Arabidopsis thaliana: one gene and its partners. The protein of the gene in region 2 interacts with the protein of the main gene of each other region in a pairwise test. Each region holds a gene or a part of one and is shown on either strand. Other genes may lie near its edges.

What was found.
Region 1: the proteins of SEP1 (region 2) and AT4G03250 interact in a two-hybrid assay, tested with the Arabidopsis thaliana proteins (one large-scale study listed by BioGRID).
Region 3: the proteins of SEP1 (region 2) and AT4G17486 interact in a two-hybrid assay, tested with the Arabidopsis thaliana proteins (one large-scale study listed by BioGRID).
Region 4: the proteins of SEP1 (region 2) and MOS6 interact in a two-hybrid assay, tested with the Arabidopsis thaliana proteins (one large-scale study listed by BioGRID).

The regions. Positions count from the first base shown.
Region 1 is NC_003075.7:1,423,358-1,428,601, reverse strand, and holds AT4G03250 (Homeodomain-like superfamily protein), read right to left. Parts: upstream 3,701-5,244; 5' UTR 3,553-3,700; coding exon 3,543-3,552; intron 3,064-3,542; coding exon 2,956-3,063; intron 2,873-2,955; coding exon 2,267-2,872; intron 2,092-2,266; coding exon 2,012-2,091; intron 1,866-2,011; coding exon 1,392-1,865; intron 1,297-1,391; coding exon 1,222-1,296; intron 1,114-1,221; coding exon 1,016-1,113; intron 931-1,015; coding exon 858-930; 3' UTR 540-857; downstream 1-539. Other genes in the region: FH (frataxin-like protein), read left to right, coding at 3,844-4,061, 4,151-4,223, 4,321-4,368, 4,468-4,562, 4,788-4,917.
Region 2 is NC_003076.8:5,150,789-5,155,793, reverse strand, and holds SEP1 (K-box region and MADS-box transcription factor family protein), read left to right. Parts: upstream 1-1,540; 5' UTR 1,541-2,026; coding exon 2,027-2,211; intron 2,212-3,062; coding exon 3,063-3,144; intron 3,145-3,234; coding exon 3,235-3,296; intron 3,297-3,385; coding exon 3,386-3,485; intron 3,486-3,575; coding exon 3,576-3,659; intron 3,660-3,796; coding exon 3,797-3,945; intron 3,946-4,073; coding exon 4,074-4,200; 3' UTR 4,201-4,460; downstream 4,461-5,005. UniProt on the Arabidopsis thaliana protein: Probable transcription factor. Functions with SEPALLATA2/AGL4 and SEPALLATA3/AGL9 to ensure proper development of petals, stamens and carpels, and to prevent the indeterminate growth of the flower meristem.
Region 3 is NC_003075.7:9,749,043-9,753,562, forward strand, and holds AT4G17486 (PPPDE putative thiol peptidase family protein), read right to left. Parts: upstream 2,763-4,520; 5' UTR 2,590-2,762; intron 2,227-2,589; 5' UTR 2,160-2,226; coding exon 1,994-2,159; intron 1,641-1,993; coding exon 1,353-1,640; intron 1,267-1,352; coding exon 1,186-1,266; intron 1,090-1,185; coding exon 950-1,089; 3' UTR 536-949; downstream 1-535. Other genes in the region: ERF6 (ethylene responsive element binding factor 6), read right to left, coding at 3,931-4,520.
Region 4 is NC_003075.7:950,000-955,346, reverse strand, and holds MOS6 (ARM repeat superfamily protein), read left to right. Parts: upstream 1-1,656; 5' UTR 1,657-1,744; coding exon 1,745-1,960; intron 1,961-2,332; coding exon 2,333-2,432; intron 2,433-2,522; coding exon 2,523-2,614; intron 2,615-2,717; coding exon 2,718-2,849; intron 2,850-2,975; coding exon 2,976-3,161; intron 3,162-3,251; coding exon 3,252-3,415; intron 3,416-3,502; coding exon 3,503-3,581; intron 3,582-3,655; coding exon 3,656-3,784; intron 3,785-3,874; coding exon 3,875-4,002; coding exon of another isoform or gene 4,003-4,006; exon of another isoform or gene 4,007-4,093; coding exon 4,094-4,463; 3' UTR 4,464-4,801; downstream 4,802-5,347. Other genes in the region: AT4G02160 (cotton fiber protein), read left to right, coding at 1-246; AT4G02140 (uncharacterized protein), read left to right, coding at 5,107-5,262. UniProt on the Arabidopsis thaliana protein: Binds to conventional NLS motifs and mediates nuclear protein import across the nuclear envelope. Acts as a cellular receptor for the nuclear import of the virD2 protein of Agrobacterium, but is not essential for Agrobacterium-mediated root transformation.

The DNA of each region.
Region 1 (5,244 bases), on a different chromosome or scaffold from region 2:
CAAGTCAGATTACAAAAAGGAAAGAAGAAACAGAAAACAAAATCCATAAAGATCATCTTTTTCAATACCTACCGACAAAAATCTAATCAGCAATCAAAAACATCAACCGTTGGACGAAATTACGGAGACACAAAGGTCAACAAGTTCACAAAACACAAACCCGTAATAACGAAACACGAACAAGTGATGGAAAATATCGCAGGAACTAACACAGAATCGGAGAACAGTGGAATCGTCGTGAGAGAGAAGAAGAAGAAGAAGAGAGATTCTTACCAGGGAGGAAAAGGATTGGATTTGAAAATCCAGATGAATAATTGATTAAGCGTAAAGATTCGAAATCAGTAGCAGAGAAACCAAAAAAATTATCTTCAAAATTTGAGTTTGAGGCAAAGCAACGCTAACCCTAAAAGAAAAAGAAAAAAACCTTTTTTGGCCGAATCAAAATTGTACCACATACTTTCTACGAAAACTAGTCAACGGCTCTGATTTTTTCTCATGTGACGAAATCTCCTAGTCACACATTTCCGAACCGCCTTTTACGACTAAACCGGACTATCATAATATTTTGGGCCTAATTTGAGCTTTATTAATAAATGGGCCTTACTTTGGTTATTTTGTAATCACTGGGATTTACATACTCAATTCGGTCAAACCGGTAACGGTTTAGGAGCAAATTTAAACAAAAAAAGGCTCATTACTGGCTCACTGTATCTCTTTGGGGACCGTTTAGTTACCAAAATGAAGAGAGCTCTAACTTTTACCAATTACACGATGCAACATTTTCACATCCTAAACCGGTTTCATCATATATCTATACAAACCGGAATTTCCTAATCTTCCTTTGTACCTTTCTTTACTTAATCCATTGACGAGCTAGATTCGTCAGTCTCATCGTCCCCGCTTAAACTAGAAGGCAGTTCCACACCAGACCTACAAACATAACAGTATGATCCAATAAGCCGATTTGATATCTCTTTGGGACAATAAATGCATTACACAATGGTTGGTTACTAACCGATTTATCTGGCTTTTTCGTTCAAGAATCTCGCTGTATGATGATGATTTTGGTGCATATACTTGCTGAATATACCCATGTTTCACTCGTTTGGCAACCTATTAACATTCGTTAAAGGTCAGAACACGAACTTGATAGAGCCTCTAAACTTTGTTAAAATATACATCAATATCTATATTTTTAAGATAGTTAACCATCAAACTCACCGGTGGTTCATCAGTCGAATGCAATTTCTCTCTCTGCATTTTCATTTGATTCCTCTCCCCGTGATATATTCCTGCCTTTAAAAGAAGATATCACACAAAACACAAGTCATATTTCCATAAAAGGGCAAGAAAGGAACATGTAGACATGGAAGTATTAGACAAATCTTTACCATCCCAGAAGATGGACCTCTATCCATTGACTCAGGGGATCTGCTTCTACTCGGAGGTAACAGCTTCGAAGATTTAGTGAGATATCCCGTCTTGCGTCCGCCATTAGATATATTATTATCATAATCATGAGACTGATTGGTTTCAATATTGCTTCCAGAAAGATTTTGGACGTTGGCAACCAGATGGTTTCTCGACCCTTCAGCCCAACTTTTGGAACTTATCCAACCCTTCTTGCTGTTAGTTACAGGGATTTCCCGTGGTGAACCTTTGAATGTCTCTTTAAACGATTTGTGGCGAGGTACAGAATTATAGAAACTGGTAGAAGGGGATTTCAGTCTTGGTTCCCCAAAACTTTTCTTATCTCTTAGACCAGGCTCCATTCCAACCATTATGTTGTCATCATCATCATGCTCATCATCCTCTGAATCTGGATCTGGCGAATGCAACTTTGATTTACGAGCTAATTCATAGCTCTATAAAGACATTAAGACAGAAAACGAAAATATTAATAATACTTCAAAGAAAGTAAGATAATTTAGCCAAAGAATGTGATGGCAGACTAAGATTCTAGTTTATATTATCTTCATGGGTATGTAGTATACAGAAAATGTTCACTTACAGGACCAGGATTAAAGCTCTTCCTCGTTCCAAGTAAATGTGGAAGGTGAGGCCGTCTCTGATTCCCAACATATATTGGCTCTGACAAAACAGTTGATAGAAAAAGCAATCAAATCCGACTGGACATGGGTAAAGGCATTCACAATCTGACACACGAAGAAGATGGTTTTAGCTTCTCTGAGCCACTTACTCAATACTCATAACATCATAAACCAGAAAATTAAAGGTAAAGTTGAAACATTTTATCATGACTCACCGTGAACTATAGGATTAGTCTGAGGCTCAAATGCACCGGGAGGAAGAGGATCAAATTCAACCCCCAGAGGTGGACCATCCTCTTGGTATTGTCTTCCTAATTGTCTCTTTACGGCAGTGATAGCAAAATTCTCACTCTCTCCCTTCACTTTCAAGTATCCCGAAGGCTTATTATACCCATAGCTTCTCATGAACTGAGGATGCTGAATAACGTCTTTATGTGCAACATATCTAGAACTTTCCACATCGCGAATTCCATCTTTGCTAGAGACAAGATTCTTACGTAATGATGAGCTACGATCAGAAGATGTACTATCTTCACCATCAGCATTTCCCATATAAAGCCTTTGACTTTCAACTTCCCTAGGCTTGGGGTTCCAATAATCCGTTTGCTTTGTACTACCACATGAATCCTGTCGAAGCCCACTTCCACGATCCTGAAGAACAACGCTTGACCGATCTTGGCTCCCAATGGCATTCCCATCTTCTTTTACATGACGTTTGTCTTTTAACCTTCTATGGCAGAACCAACCTGAAACTTGCTTCTCAGTTAATCCAACTTCCTCTGCTAACTTGCCCTTCATTTCTTCAGTCGGATACTTATGCTCTGTAGAAAAACCAAATCACACCTGTAAAGCATATACAACTTGGTATAAAGGAACATATGCAAACAACAAAGCCATAATTTACCATTGTAGAAATTCTCAAGCGCCATAACTTGCATAGGAGTCTTAAGCTTCCGTTTTTTGCTGTTTTCTGTAGAAGCTTTATCGCCATCAGCGGTCGCTTCGCCTGAATCTATCGAAAATAGCACATAAAAATCAAAAACATAAGAAGATAATAGTGAAACACGGACACCATTCAATAACCAAGAGATGCAAAGCCCTGACCAAAATCAATTTCATTTTACAATCATGCTTTGTGTATTTAGAAATGTTGCTAGTAATTCCGAAATTCAGGTAAAACATCTACACAAGCTTCACATAAAAGGGTTTAATTTCAGAATTATGGCTCTTTCTCTCATCAGCCAAATACTTCTAAACCCAATCAAAACGAACGAAAACTTTGGAATTCCTTAGCTTGAATAATTAGTAGTACCATAAAACAAACCAAAAAAGGCTTAAAATTTCCAATGCCATTGATGAATTTCGCTAATTAAAACTACAAAAACTGGGAGTTGCATTGTAATTCGACGAACTCGGGATCATTAAAAACTATTCTCTCACGTAAACTCGCAGGAAGACAGAGATTGAAATAGAGGAAAAAACGAATTTCACCTGAGTGCATAGCGAAAATTCCCAGAGATTGAAGGAACAAAACCTAATCAGCTCCCAAAAACCCAGATTTTTTTCTTTCTCCTTCTTCAAAATTCTGGTTTTTTCTTATGAGAGGAGAAGAAAACTCTTCTTCGCACACAAATGACAAATCTCTTGAGAACCATACCGGTTTCAGTAAACCGGAACATGGGAAATACGTGAACCGGGTAAATCTAAATTTGGGCCTTATTGTGGGCCTAAATTGGACAACGAAGGAATAAGAAGAAGAGAGGCGTCGAATGTTTCTTGTGACAGAACCGCCATGGCTACAGCTTCAAGGTTTCTTCTACGGAAATTGCCGAGGTTTCTCAAGCTGTCTCCAACTCTTCTCCGTAGCAATGGCGTAAGAGTTTCAAGCAATCTGATTCAAGATTCCATAGAACCGTTGGATTCCTTCTGGAGAATAGGATCTCGAATCCGCCATGATTCTTTGACTACCAGAAGCTTCTCTTCTCAAGGTCCTGCTTCTGTCGATTACAGGTACTTTAATATTCTCCATTTTGATCTCCTTTATTGTATCTGAATCGTTAATTTCATGAGAATATGAACAAAGTGGAAGAAAAAAACAGTTCGGTTTTGCAGGAGGAAGAGTTTCACAAATTAGCCAACTTCACAATTAATCACCTTCTTGAGAAAATTGAGGTATTTGAAGCTGGAACCTTTTTCTCTCTAGGGTTCTTCGTTTTACTTGAGATTGCAATAGCTTACACTATGTTCTACTTGCATGATTCATGTTCAGGATTATGGTGATAATGTTCAGATTGATGGTTTCGACATAGATTATGGGGTAAGGATTAAACTCTTTTAAGCAATTTAAGATCTTGTTCATATTTCTGGAAATCTATGTGTACTTATTATAGTCAGTCCTTTTGGCTGTTTCCAACAGAATGAAGTTCTTACCCTTAAGCTTGGATCTTTAGGCACTTATGTACTGAATAAGCAAACTCCAAATCGACAAATCTGGATGTCTTCACCTGTGAGGTAAAGATTCTTTCTTGCCTTTTGAAAGTTGCTAACTTTAGGCGCCTAGATTGAATTTCGCATCTGGATTATCATGTTCTGCTCTCTCTTCTGATTTTTGTACTCATGATATTTGGAGAAATGAAACTGTTTATGACTGTATAGTGTTGTTGCTCTTGACTTTGTGCTTCCACATCTTAGATTCACATTAATGTAATCTTCATTCTTCCTTTTGTCTCGGTGCAGTGGCCCTTCTAGATTTGACTGGGACCGTGATGCTAATGCGTGGATATATCGGCGAACTGAAGCAAAGTTGCATAAACTCCTGGAAGAGGAGTTAGAGAATCTATGTGGTGAACCAATCCAACTCTCATAAAGAAGGCTTTAAAACAATATTTGTGAGCGAAAGGGTTTCATCTATGAACTTGAAACTGCTATACCCTGTTAAAGGTATATCTATGAAACATCCAGAGGAATAAACAAACAAGGCAGAAGACAAAGTTGTTTTAGTGTGAAAACTGATTAGTGTTTCTGAATCTATTTTTAAACAGTAATGTCTCATAGTGACATTGTTGCAAGTCTCTTTGTTTAATCAGAGCTGAAGCTGCCTTTTACAGGTTTACGCGTTTTAGATGAAAACATTTCTTTTGAACGACAAAAGTCCTACATTTGTCAAAACTCCTCGAATCTCACAATAATTTCG
Region 2 (5,005 bases):
CAATAATCCCTTGTCTATATGGTGGTATTTCTGCTAAAAGTGACTTATGGGTAGATTTTTTAGCTTCATAGATTCTTTGTCGAAAAAAAATTACTTTGTACATTTTAGTGGAGTTATTTAAATTTCCCAATTGAACAAAACCATATATTGATGAAATTCGCAAATGCAATCCAAAAATAAATATGTTCCACTCTTTTGGTTAGCTTTTAACTAAAGATGCGTTTTACTTTATGTAAGTGGTTGATCTTTTGGCAATGGGGGACAATGACTATACAATCTAAGAGATCATTTTAACGAATATCATTCATATTTCATCCTCTTCTTCAAATTTCAGTTTCACTAATTAACCACGTTTCAATTGTAGTGTATCGCGAGCTGTAAATATTATCTAATTTATGTTACATAATCATAACTGTAATCTTTATTAGACAAAAACATATATACCTCACTGCAAACACCTTCAAACATGGATAACTTGATTTAGGCATACAAATATTATTTCTCATTTATTTGATATGACCTATATTATGTGGCTATTTTATCAGTTTTAGTGTTTTTTATGATAATTGAACCACTTAAATGTTTATCTCATTTTTCAATTTATTTTAAACTGAATTAAAAAGTAAGAAAGTATGATCCAATAAGGCATCGACACATGGAAACCCATTTTAAGGTAGAAGATGCTTTTCTGCGGCTTCTGAAAACAACTAGAAAATGATATGATACGTTGCTTTCATTTATTGTAAGTATTATTTAGTTTTAATTCACGCGCTTCATATCCAGCTGCAAGACTACTACAACTTGCAATTATGAGACTCTCGTTAGAAAATTACCAGGTATAATTTAAAAACAAAAAGAACTAGAATATATTGGCAATTATTTGAAGTAAGAAAATATGAGATTCTTGACCGAGTTGTTAAACTATCAAACCCAAAAGTTTTGGTTAAAAAATAAGCTAGTACTATGTACATATGTTTTATGTTGAAAATATATTAAACTGTATGTAAGAGGGAGTGTACTTTCATTTTAGATATACATTTCCAGCTAGTACGAGGTCTCTATATATAAACTTTCTTAATATCGCTAAACAAATTTTACTTTCAAGTTTGTAATGTGATAAGTGAAAGACCGTATATACATACACATGTTAATCAACTGATAACCTTTGTGCCTCGTGTGTCTAGTTACTAGTCAACCATCAAACGTGCATGATGCTGTTTTTCTTAGAGTACTATTGTTGTGTTATATATAACTAAACATAAACAATTTGCTATTATGATATAAACATAGAATTTTCAAGCAATGATATGTTTAGATGTTTTGTATAAATATTCCATAAATAGTAGACACCCATATATACACAAACATGAATTCTACCTGAGGAGAAACACATAGATGTTCAAATTAAATAATAACCCTATAATGAAAACTCTAAAGTAAGTAATACGAAATAAAAATTTATCCTTTAAATAACATATAAACATATATATACAAGTTTAATTGGTAATTGTATCACAAGAGCCAATTATTTGGTGACTGTATCACACGTGCTTAAAGAGAGCGTGGGAATGAAAGTAAAGAAGAATAAAGAAGCAGAGAGATGGGCTAGAAATGAGAAAACACACCAAACCCTAACCTCACCCTCACACATTTCTTATCTTTTGCTCTCAATAGATTCCATTGATTCAAAACAAAATTTTCATTAAGATTTCACAACCTCCACACACTTCCAAACACAATTAAAGAGAGGAAAAAGAATCAATAACCCTATAAATAAAAAATCAGACAAACAGAAGTTTCCTCTTCTTCTTCCTTAAGCTAGTACCTTTTGTTCTTGAAATTAGGGTTAATTTCTTTTTTCCAAATACCATCAATTCTCCAGACCATAAAAACTCAAAAAGATCAGATCTTTCCTCTGAAAAAGAGATACCCAACTTATGTTTTTGTGTGTCTGTATATAGATAAACATTACATACCCATATTTGTGTATAGACATAAAAAGTGGAAATTAAGGTAACAAAAAGAAATGGGAAGAGGAAGAGTAGAGCTGAAGAGGATAGAGAACAAAATCAACAGACAAGTAACGTTTGCAAAGCGTAGGAACGGTTTGTTGAAGAAAGCTTATGAATTGTCTGTTCTCTGTGATGCTGAAGTTGCTCTCATCATCTTCTCCAACCGTGGAAAGCTCTATGAGTTTTGCAGCTCCTCAAAGTAAACAACTCTCTCACTCTTTATCAGTTTCTTGATTGAGTTTTTGCTAGATCTGAGCTTAGATCTTTGTCTCAAGGACTTGTTATATATAGATCACACGATCTTGATTTCTACGAAGTTGAGTTAATTAGATTTCTTGATTTCATTTTCTAGGGTTTTTTTCCAATTCTTGAAATTTAAGATCTGGTTTTTTTGTTGTCAATGATTTAGAACTGTGAATTTTGTAATCGAATAGATTCCAAATCCTGATATGCAATCTGAAAAGTTTTATATAATTAATATATGTCTGTGTGATTGGAAACTTAAAAGTTGTTCACAGATTTCTATGAAAATTACAAGTATCCAACGTAGAATGATAATATATGGTTACATGCATTAACCATTTGTTAGTTCATCATACTTTATGGTGGTTAAAACTTCAAACGCGTGTATATCTGTGAAGGCTTTGATTGTTTGTTTTTTCTTAAAAACAATGTTTAATAGATTTTTAATTATATGTTAAAATAGTTTTGCTTACATGCATTCAAGAAAATATAGCGATTAATTCCTTTTTTCAAATCACAATTTGTGAATCAAACGAAAACGTAAGATATTGCTTGCAAATGATAGGATTGAACTATTGATATTTGTAAATATAAATACGAAACTTTACGTTTGAAAGTTGAAACAATCAAATCCAAATCAACTCGTATATAATCAGATAAATAATGGAAACAATCTTCAATTTTGATGGAAGAATACTTTAAAACTTGAAGAGCTTTTTTTTTATGGTGATTTATAGGTTTAGATCTCCAAAGTCAAGTATGATCTTTTTAATAAACTCTTATTCTCTCTTTTTGAGTTATTTTCAGCATGCTCAAGACACTTGATCGGTACCAGAAATGCAGCTATGGATCCATTGAAGTCAACAACAAACCTGCCAAAGAACTTGAGGTGTTCTTAATTCAAATACTATTTTAGATTCCTATCATATCATTTCAAGAAAGATCTTTTTTAAAAGTTTGTTTTCGTGAAATATTTCAGAACAGCTACAGAGAATATCTGAAGCTTAAGGGTAGATATGAGAACCTTCAACGTCAACAGAGGTACATATCTGTCTACCTCCGTATATTTACTCAATTCTGTATCCATGTAGATTCATATTTGTAGGTGTGTGTGGCTTTTGTTGGTGCAGAAATCTTCTTGGGGAGGATTTAGGACCTTTGAATTCAAAGGAGTTAGAGCAGCTTGAGCGTCAACTGGACGGCTCTCTCAAGCAAGTTCGGTCCATCAAGGTATCTTTATACATGGAATCAATGATTCAAATGAGATTAATTTGTGTTGTTTAATTATAACTACTATGGTGGTATGATGATTGTTTGCAGACACAGTACATGCTTGACCAGCTCTCGGATCTTCAAAATAAAGAGCAAATGTTGCTTGAAACCAATAGAGCTTTGGCAATGAAGGTATAATTACAGAATAAATGCATTTGGTGCCTTGCGATCAATCTCTTTCACAGAGTTTAAGTTTCTAAACATTTTTGGAAACATCTCTAGTTTTCTTGTTTCTGATTATAGTCTTTTGGTGAAATGTAAATGTTTAGCTGGATGATATGATTGGTGTGAGAAGTCATCATATGGGAGGAGGAGGAGGATGGGAAGGTGGTGAACAGAATGTTACCTACGCGCATCATCAAGCTCAGTCTCAGGGACTATACCAGCCTCTTGAATGCAATCCAACTCTGCAAATGGGGTAAATCCTTTGCCTTAAACAATCATCTGCAAATCAGCTTGTGTACTTCACTACTAAGATTGTACTTATATAAGGTTCTTTAGTTACTTGGTGTAAAGAGGATCATCAATGTGTGTGAACCTTTTAAGTTGCTGTTTTGGTGATGATGATGATGATGACAGGTATGATAATCCGGTATGCTCAGAGCAAATAACTGCGACAACCCAAGCTCAGGCGCAGCAGGGAAACGGTTACATCCCGGGGTGGATGCTCTGAGAGTCATGTGCTGTGTTAAAGCTCACCAACAAAAGATCTTTTATATATATAAAAGTATAGACACAAGACTTTGGATTTGTAGACATAAGTGGCTATATATAATGGTCCTGAGGATCTTCAAGACATTTGTATCTTTTGGGAATCCTTGCTTATATTAAGAATTCAAATGTGTGGAACTTGTTTTAACACTGAACCATGACACTGGTTTATTATCATGTAATGAGAAACATTTGGGTTACAATGTGATCTCTCCTTGACCCAAATACCCAATGTAAACTATATGCCAAAATACAAGCATCACATATATATTCATAAATTCATAAAAGGTTAAAAGTAATCATACAAAATGATGTAAAAAGTTTCATGCCTTGAACAAAACACTGCGCCAAAGGCAAATCCTAAGAAACATGTCAGATTCCTGTGTGCATCTGTTCTGCTGCTGCTGTTGTTTTCTCTCAAGAGGGTTTCCTCAGAACTCCATAAGCCAAACGTGCAGAGAGACGTTTCCTCATTTCCCCATCATATACAATATCATATATTGTTAAAAAATATATTCACATCTCTCTGCTGCCTTGTCAATCTCCCCAGGTCCGGTCTAGGCAGTACAAGACAGGATCAATGGCAACAAGTTACGGTGTTTCGTGGAACTCCATCACCTGCAAATGAGACGAATTCACAGCAGAGAAAAAAATATTCTTTAGTCAACATGAATGAGAAATAATTCAAATGTTCTGAGTTTCAGGAAGAATGATTAGCCATATTTGTCATAGACAAGACAAGTAAAGATTTTACGCATGTGCTTCTA
Region 3 (4,520 bases), on a different chromosome or scaffold from region 2:
GTCTTCTTATTCTTCTGTTTTTTTTTGGGCAAAAGAGTTGTGTCTCTTCACTTGGCATATTTATAGGCGTAATTAACTAAACCACATACATATGTTATTTTGTTATATTTTGTTCTACTTAGATTTATTTCTTTTCTATATGTCAAAATATTGATTAAATCTTAGACCTCAATTGTTATCAAAATTTAATATACAGTGCTGGTATAGTATTTTCCTATTGATCTAAAAGTATTTTAAAAGAAAAATAAATAAGATAGTCAAATATAGGGACCCTTAAGTATATGTCAAGTTTTTAATTTTCTAAGCAAGATTAATCACCATAAATTCTTAGTTTTAGTAATCATATTAAATAAAAAGTATATTAAGTGATTCTTAATTGCAAGCAATAAATTGCTAAAGCAAAACATACAATGAAAAACATAGAAAAAATAACAACAGATAAATCAAAGCATGGAGAACTAAGAGCGTCAAGTGCGTCAGCCATTCTCAGTGCAAACCCTATATGGTTTGGGGAAAATTTGAGAAACAAATTGGGGTTTTTTTGCCCTAGTAACTGATTTGTGGTTTCTTTCTTTTAATAACTTTAATTACGATTTGTTTTTAAAATTTATTACAAACGATAAACAGCTTGATAGCTCTTTCGATATGGTTATGGCCTTATGGGTAGAACCGGGGTAACTAGATATGGAAAATATGGAGAAATCTTTAGATTTTTACTGCCAAAGGGTTGTCTGATTAAAATGAATCCGGGAATCCGTTTTTACATTCCTAAAATGATGAGAAGAATACCAAATCGAATTTCCGACAGAACCAACGCAGCACTAAGGTGACAAAACGAGATATATAACTTACTCCCTTTCAGCTTCCATGGGCACACCACACTCTGCAAGTTTTGATGATTGGTTGGGTTGATTCAGGAGGAAGTACATTGTCGTCGCTGGTTGGTTTCTCAGGGGATCTCCTCTCTGGTAAGTCGCACTGGTTTGTTTTGTAGATACACAATCTCTCTGTCTGCTACATTTATGAGATGCTGCTCTGATCCTTCTTCATCTGACACAGAAGATGCCTCTGAGTTTGATTCATCCTCATCTACATAAGGAAAATACGAAGCCATTCATGATTTGTTTTGATCACAAAGGAGTTGGGGTTTTTTTGGTTATAACATTCTCTTAGTTAGGAGCTTACCGGAGAATTCAAGGCGTTCGGGAAGAGCACTAACAGCTGTAAGCTGAATGCTTTCTGGCAGAAGACAATTACAGAAGGAACCTGAAACTCAAACAGACCATGAGTAAATATTTAGGACACAATTTGTTTGTAACTTAACACAGAGAAAGGTTTATTATATCTTTTACCTACTCGGGCCAGCCGATTAATCCATCCTGGAATAGGCTTTCCTGTTAGCTGCAAGCATACTTCTTCAGTGAAATGGTTACAGTTCTTGGCAATCAAATGGTAAGTGTCACCATGGTACTTTCTTGAAAGCTTCTCCATGTATGAGCGGAAATCTGAACGGGACATGCTGGTAGTTCCCAGTAAAACCGACCGTCTAAAGATGAACCCTGGACAGTTCCTAGGTTCCACCTCATATACCCCACTTGTTGGATACTCGTGAGCTCCATAGCAATATTCCAAATTATGAGCTACATTGAAGTTGAACAACTGTGTCAAAGAGAGCAATGAATAATAACTAAAATAACAGGTAAAATCTAAGTTATTAAAGGATCATAGAAAGTTTCCACTAAATAATCCTCAGCGTTTAACACTTTTCTTGGTCCTACATCTATATCCACAAACAATCCCCTTCTCAAAAGAGCCTAGTATTGCCACCAAATCATTAAGACAGCTATTTTTCTATATCCAGAAACAATCCCCTTCTCAAAAGCATACTAAGTAGACAATGTTCTCTTGAGTTTACAGATATACAGACTCATAGAAAGGTTTCTCCTTTCGTGATCTCAATCAAGAATCTTAAAGAGAAAGAGAAGAAACATACCCTCAATACCAGAATGGAAAATGCCAATCCCAAACCAATAAAGGTAATTGTTGACAGGCGTTAGATCATAGACATTGAGATAAACCGGCGTAAGCGCGGCTTCTCCACTGCTCTCATCCCTCTCATCACTTGAACATGAGCTTGAGCTCAATGTAGGCACCCACATTTTACACACAATATCCCAATTCAAAGTCACGATCGAACCATTCCTTTCTTCCTAAACCTCTGCAACACTAAAAAAAAAAAAAACTGATGGTCATATTCATCATATAAACACCAAAAGTAACAATCAAATGTTCCATAACTTAGATCAAAATAATTGGAATTCAAGCAATTCGAACATAAACAATCAAACATGTATACAACTTCTTCTTTGGCGACTAACGAGAACAGATCCAAGGATTCGATTCACACAGTAGCAATTACACATACAATCAAAAATCTAATCCTCTAAAAGAAAAATCTATCCAATCGCTCGAATTTCAAATCAGGAAAGCCACGAAACATAATTGAAATTGGGCGCGTGCGTTTTCATGTACAACAATCGAGCAAGAGAGATCGAGAGAGACGAGGAAGACGAAGGAAACGGAGCTTACATGAGAGTCGAGCAGAATGGGATTGGTTGGGAGAGAGACTGCAAAAATGATCGAGAAAAGTTTATACACGGAGTTTTTTTCTTTGAAGATTTGCTTTTTTTTTTTGGTTAAAACTTAAGCATATAAGTAATGAACAAAACAAATAAAAGTCAAAGCTAAATATTAGTTGGCAAAAAAAAAATCATATATGTATTTACATATTTAACACGTATGTACTAATATAATTTTCATTGATTATTACACTTCAATATTCAATTTACCCCCCTTTACTTTAAAAAAATATATTCAATATACTTTCTCTCAAATTTTTTGTTAGTTGATTTGTTCATTTTAATTTTTTTATATATACTGAATAATAAAATTTATTTGAAGCCTCGTATTTGGTTTCACTGAAAGAAGCGATACCATTTGAGAATTATGGTGTTCACATCCGTAAATATAGATATGATTCGGATTTCTAAAAAGATAAACAAAGAACCAAAATTCAGTTTTACACACAAGAGATTATTAAAGTTATCTAAATAATCTATTAGCTGTATTAATGACTTAACGTAAGCAGTGGTATATAGGGAAAAGTTGATTTGTGGTATAAAAGTCTAAGATTGGATGAGAGAAACTCTTAAGGATCGACGTATAGGCGATGGTATAAAAATCAAAATGGAAAGCTTTTACCATGCAAAAAGAACCATAGCATTTTTGTTTTAAAGAAAGAAAAAAAAAAGAAGGAAAAGAGTCATAGATATTACCATGCAAAAATATGGAAATTGTAATATATATACGTGATTCCCATATTATAAGATTAGAGCTTTTTCCGCCAAACTAATTTATTAATTGTAATTATTGATTACAAATTTATAGATATTTCAAAAATGAAGTCACAAATGAGAAATGAATCAAATGAAACAATCTATAGAAAACAAGATATTATAAAAGTCAATTAGTCAGAGTTTATACATGCAAAAAAAAAAGAGTCATGGAGCTTTCAAATATTAAGTCACAAATAGGATATAATCGAGACTGCTAAAGATGTTACGGTAATAAATCCGAGCATATTACATGCCATTGAAAAATAATACGTTCTATGATAAAAAGTCATTTGATCGGAGCTTCGTGTTATGTGTTCTCTGTTCTTTCCATATTGATTCGCCTTTACATGCGATTTTTGTCTCAGTAGCCGCTAAATAAGGTGATTGGTTAGAATTTAGAAATATCAAGAGTTGTATTAAAAAACAAATAAACGAATGAATAAATTTTGCTCGAATGTGAACATAAAATAAGCAAAAGATATAGCATAATTCCACGTCAGCATACAACAAGCTGACCCAAACAGAAAAATAGAATTCAAACAACGGTCAATTGTGGATAACCAAACGGTGGGTGTGGAGATAACGGCGATAAAAGCGGCATGCTCAGAAACTCCGTCAAATCCCAGTCATCTATCGCCGTCAAACCTGACTCAACATTCTCGCCGCCGCTAACGTCGTAACTCTCCTCCGTCTTTAGCACTTTCTCAACCACCGTCACTTCCTCCTCCTCGCCGTCTCTCTTCCGTTTGTTGTACAGGCCACGACCATCTTCAGCGCGTGGATTCCACTTGTCAACTTCAAGCGGGAAATTCAGAATCGCCTTTGATCCTCGTAGTCTAAACGCTTCTTTGTCGTAAGCTCTAGCCGCTTCGATCGCCGTCTCAAACGTCCCGAGCCAAACACGAGTTCCACGACGAGTCGGGTCTCGAATCTCCGCCGCGAATTTCCCCCACGGCCTCATCCTCACTCCTCTGTAATGCCTCTTCTCCTCTGCTGCTACAACCGGTACGGGAAGTTCCGGTTTAGGATTTCCGGTTGCGAATTGAATCCACTTGGTTCGGTTCGGTGGTGCGATCTTCAACGGCGGTTTTCGATTGGATTGAACAGTAACGCGAGGAGGATTCG
Region 4 (5,347 bases), on a different chromosome or scaffold from region 2:
CTCACGGCGACGTCTAGTTCTTGCTCTTCGGGAATCTCGGGATATGGATCAGCAAAGTCGTTGCGAGATATGGATTGTCTTGATGAAGATGATGATGATGATGAAAATTATGGTAATGATGATGGAGGTGATGAGATGATTGATGCGAAAGCTGAGGAGTTTATTGTGAGATTTTATGAACAGATGAGGATGCAAAATCAGGCTTATACAGAACGTTACAAAGCTAAAGAGATGATGATGGTCTAAATCGCACATTGTAATTCTATTCACTGAAGCATAATGTCATATTACATGAGTATACATATATGCATGGAGACGTGCACAGAGTTTGTCTTTGATTATTTCGATGATTTTTTTTTTTCGTCTATTATTTCGATGATTTAAGTAATGATATATATATTGTATTCAGTTAGTCTTGATTGTATACTTTTATAGTAGACGATGAATTTGTACGCAAACTATATTAAAATATATTTATAAAACTGATGTCATTTTGGTTTACTATATATCATCTTCAAGTCATAATGCTAGAACCAAATTGCAGCTAGCTTCTTGTGAGTGATATAGTAGATGATGAATTTGTACGCAAATTATATACATGACTCTGAGCTTCTTTGGCAGTTTTCCTAGGGTGTCATATACATGACTCTGAGCTACAAGCCTTTGTTGTTGTCATATTTCAAGCAATTCGTTTTTTTCTTTTTTTTCTTTTGAACCAAAAACCCAATAATGAGTTAAGTAGAAGTTTATAATTCACTTATGGGTACAATCCAATATAATTTAGAATTTTCCTATTGGTTTGAGAATCCAATTTGCTTGAAGAGAAAATCAGAGACATGGAAGCTAAAGAAGAGAGATTAGAAGTTTATGATGTGGAGAGTAAATTGAATCGGTTGCAATTCGGTTTATTATACTAGATTTTTGGTTTGGCATTAGGTTTATGACGTTAACCTAATAATAAACTACAAAATTTGGTTTTGTGGAGACTAAATTCTCTAACTTTCGATTTAGGAGGATATAATAATTTACCTTCTATTTTGTGTTGACTGTAAACGAAGTTCTAAATCTGTGTAGTTGTGGTACTATGTGAAACTGCGTAGGGGAATAGAGGTCGTTCACTCAAGTTTATAAGATGGCACAAATAGAAAGAAATCAATTTAGTTGTTCTCTCATTTGAAAGGAATTCAAGCAATATGGTTGTTCTCGTCTTTCCAAGATGCATTGAATAGTAAAGCATCTAATTAGTAAAGTTCTCATAATGCTCAGTTGCTCACATTGATCTTTTTACCCCTTTTAATTAGAGTACAGTCTTGTAAATTACGTTGTTTTAGCCAAGTTTGGCCTATGTAATAATTTATTTGGGCTTTAAAAAGCCTCTTCAAATTAGAGTATTGCTGCTGCAGAAAAAGAAAAGAATATTTGCGTGGAGAAAATAAAGGAAAACAAATCCATAATTAGTAGTCGGTGTATACATACCTAAAAAGGCAGAGAGACGTTAAGATTCAAATTTCAAAAAAGAAAAAAAATATGAGTGGCAGGTTCGTTATTAATGATAAAACTTAGGGGCAATATTGGATTAACAACAAGTCTCCTGAATCGTGGCCTCCTAAGTACACGCTCTTGTATAAATACACTCGCATCAAACTCCAAAACCCTTATCACTCTCTCATTAATCGAACTTGGCGTGTTTAAATAATCTTCCGATCGTTAATTCTCTTCCGATTTCGATTCGATTTTAGCGGCGATGTCTCTCAGACCTAGCGCGAAGACGGAGGTGCGACGGAATCGGTACAAAGTAGCGGTCGATGCGGAGGAAGGACGGCGGAGGCGAGAGGATAACTTGGTTGAGATCAGGAAGAACAAGAGAGAGGAAAATTTGCAGAAGAAGAGATTTACGTCTTCTATGGCTTTTGGCTCAGCAACGGGACAAACGGAACAGGATCTTTCTTCAGCGAACCAAGTATGTGATTCTTTCTTTTGTTTACGATTCCACCTTTAGTTTTTTCTGATTTTATGTTCCGATTTGATCAATTAGATCGTCTCTGTTTCATATGAATTTCTAATTGGAGATCGATTTGTTCTAGATTTGAAGTTCTTGCGATGTTTCTTTGTTTTTGGTCATAGATTTTGTATTTGATTGCAAAAACTTGCGATGTGTATGTGTTGTTTGGTGAGAGTATTTGTTACTAATGTCTGTTTAATTGACTGGGAATTTGAGCGGTGTTGAATTTGACATGTAAAGAGAATTAGGGTTGATATCTCAACGGAGATCATCAAATTTACTTTAGCTAGAGGAGATTTTTGACTATGATAGTGTCTCTTCGTGTTACAGTTAAAAGATAATCTACCTGCTATGGTTGCTGGAATCTGGTCAGAGGATAGCAATTCACAATTGGAGGCAACAAATCTCTTGCGGAAACTGCTTTCTATTGGTTTGTGATTTATGTTATTGATCGTTACTAGTAGTACATAACAATCAGTGTTTTGGTTAGAGTCTTTAGCAGTTGTTTTTTCTTTTGTAGAACAAAATCCTCCTATCAATGAAGTTGTACAATCTGGTGTTGTTCCTCGTGTTGTGAAGTTTCTTTCCAGGGATGACTTCCCCAAACTTCAGGTGAGTCGCAGCTGCAGTCGTTTTTTTTTGGATATATTGATAGTTACTAGTTTGATGTATTTGTTAACTTGCTTTTGCTGTTTACTTCTGCAATGTGTTTTAGTTTGAGGCAGCTTGGGCGCTCACCAACATTGCTTCAGGGACATCAGAGAACACAAATGTCATCATTGAAAGTGGAGCTGTCCCGATATTCATCCAACTTCTCAGCTCTGCTAGTGAAGATGTCCGCGAACAGGTATATGTTTAAATCCTCACTGTTATCGTTATTGTCACAGAAGAAACACTTAGACATTAGGATCAAGTGGAAATTCATTGAGACTGTTACCATTCTGAGTTCTGGTCTTTCCCTGACTGAGTATAGGCTGTTTGGGCATTGGGAAATGTTGCTGGAGACTCACCAAAATGCCGGGATTTAGTCCTAAGTTACGGTGCCATGACACCTCTTCTGTCTCAATTCAATGAGAATACAAAGCTTTCAATGCTGAGAAATGCTACATGGACATTATCAAACTTCTGCAGAGGGAAGCCCCCACCCGCATTTGAACAGGTTTCCTTAAATATACACACTTTATTGAATCTCCACAATATTTTTTAACATGCTTCTGATATTTTGTTACTTAAAACATTTTTCGAGCAGACACAACCAGCTTTACCAGTTCTTGAGCGCCTTGTGCAATCAATGGATGAAGAAGTTCTCACAGATGCATGCTGGGCTCTGTCATACCTCTCGGATAATTCAAACGACAAAATACAAGCAGTCATTGAAGCAGGAGTTGTTCCTCGCCTCATCCAGCTCTTAGGGTAAGCATCTGATAGTGATCATTTTAATTTTTATTGCCAGGCATGATTATGTTATCTGATTTATGTGCTTCCTCTTTCTCCGTATAGTCATTCGTCGCCATCAGTGCTGATTCCTGCTCTTCGTACCATTGGAAATATTGTAACCGGGGATGATCTACAGACTCAGGTGCATATAATACATTCACCATTCGATTTCGAGTTTTCAGAAGCAAATGTCTCTAACTTATTTTCCTAACACAGATGGTTCTCGACCAGCAAGCGCTTCCTTGTCTTTTGAACCTTCTAAAAAACAATTACAAGAAGAGTATCAAGAAGGAAGCTTGCTGGACTATCTCCAACATTACAGCTGGAAATGCAGATCAGATACAAGTGAGTTTTGTTTATAATATATGGCATTTAACAAGAAAGTCGAAAATTGAAGTTTCCTGTGTCTGATTTTATTCGAACCCGTATGTGCAGGCAGTGATTGATGCAGGTATAATCCAGTCTCTTGTTTGGGTGCTTCAAAGTGCAGAGTTCGAAGTAAAAAAAGAAGCTGCTTGGGGAATATCAAATGCTACTTCTGGTGGCACTCATGATCAAATCAAGTAAAACCATAAAAACCGAAACGAAATGTTTCCTTAACAAAGAATGGTCATTTCTAAAACACGTCTGTGTTTATTGTTTGTTTCTTCTCAGGTTTATGGTGAGCCAAGGCTGTATCAAACCTCTATGCGATCTCCTTACTTGCCCAGATCTGAAAGTTGTAACGGTTTGCTTAGAAGCACTAGAGAACATTCTCGTGGTTGGAGAAGCAGAGAAGAACTTAGGTCACACAGGAGAAGACAACCTCTACGCTCAAATGATTGACGAAGCAGAAGGGTTAGAGAAGATTGAGAATCTTCAGAGTCACGACAACAATGATATCTACGACAAAGCCGTGAAGATCCTCGAAACATTTTGGACTGAAGACAATGAAGAAGAAGGCAACGACGAGAATCATGCTCCACAATCTGGTTTCCAGTTCGGAAGCACCAATGTTCCTCCTGGTCAATTCAACTTTATTTGAAAGGTAAAATAGTTGAATTGGGTCATAGAAGTTGCTTGGACTTTTAAGTAAGCCACATATCGAACGAAAGTGGTAACATCACAAAGATGAAATATCAATCTTCTCTATCTCTTCATGCCCACTCCTTAACTCGTGGACATGAACTATGAAGAAACATAGTACGATTTTCTTTTCTTTTTGGAAGTTTGTCTCAATAACTAAATCATTTGGGGAAGAGAAACAATTATTCTGTGTTAGCCATCATCTCGTCTTTCAACAAAGTTCCCTTTTTTCATATATTAGTGCCATTACAAAATCGTAGTTATGCCTTAACTAAACCAGAAACATTTTTATTCAATAGTTAATCATTTTTACTCGCAATTTTAGAAAACAGAGAAGCTAGAAATAGTAATATACGCTTGTGGAGGTTTGAGGCAACGGTCAAAACTTCAAGAGCAATATACGCATGTGGAGTTTTTATTGGGTACTTTGGTGTCTAATTACAAATAGGAGAGATTAGTGGTGATTAAGTGGTTATTATCATGGTCATAATTTCTATATGCGAGAAATTAGGGTTTAGGCTATGTGACTAATTCGTGTATTTAAAACACTCTCATTGTTTTATATCCAACAGACAACAAGAACAACAACATAGCCAGATATAATGCTGTCTTCACCAGCTTTTGCTGCAGCACGTTCTACTCTCGGTCGTCGTCTTCATGCGAAGAGACTATCTTCTTCTACTGGTCGAACCGCTGATCCAGAGATTCATGCCCGTAACGATGGAGACGAGCCTAGTCTTTTTCCATCAGACCCCGAGGTATATTTTGACTTTGTTGTTTATATATGTCAAGCTTAGCTGTCACAAGTCACAACTAAATTGTTTGTGATATGTTGTTATTGTT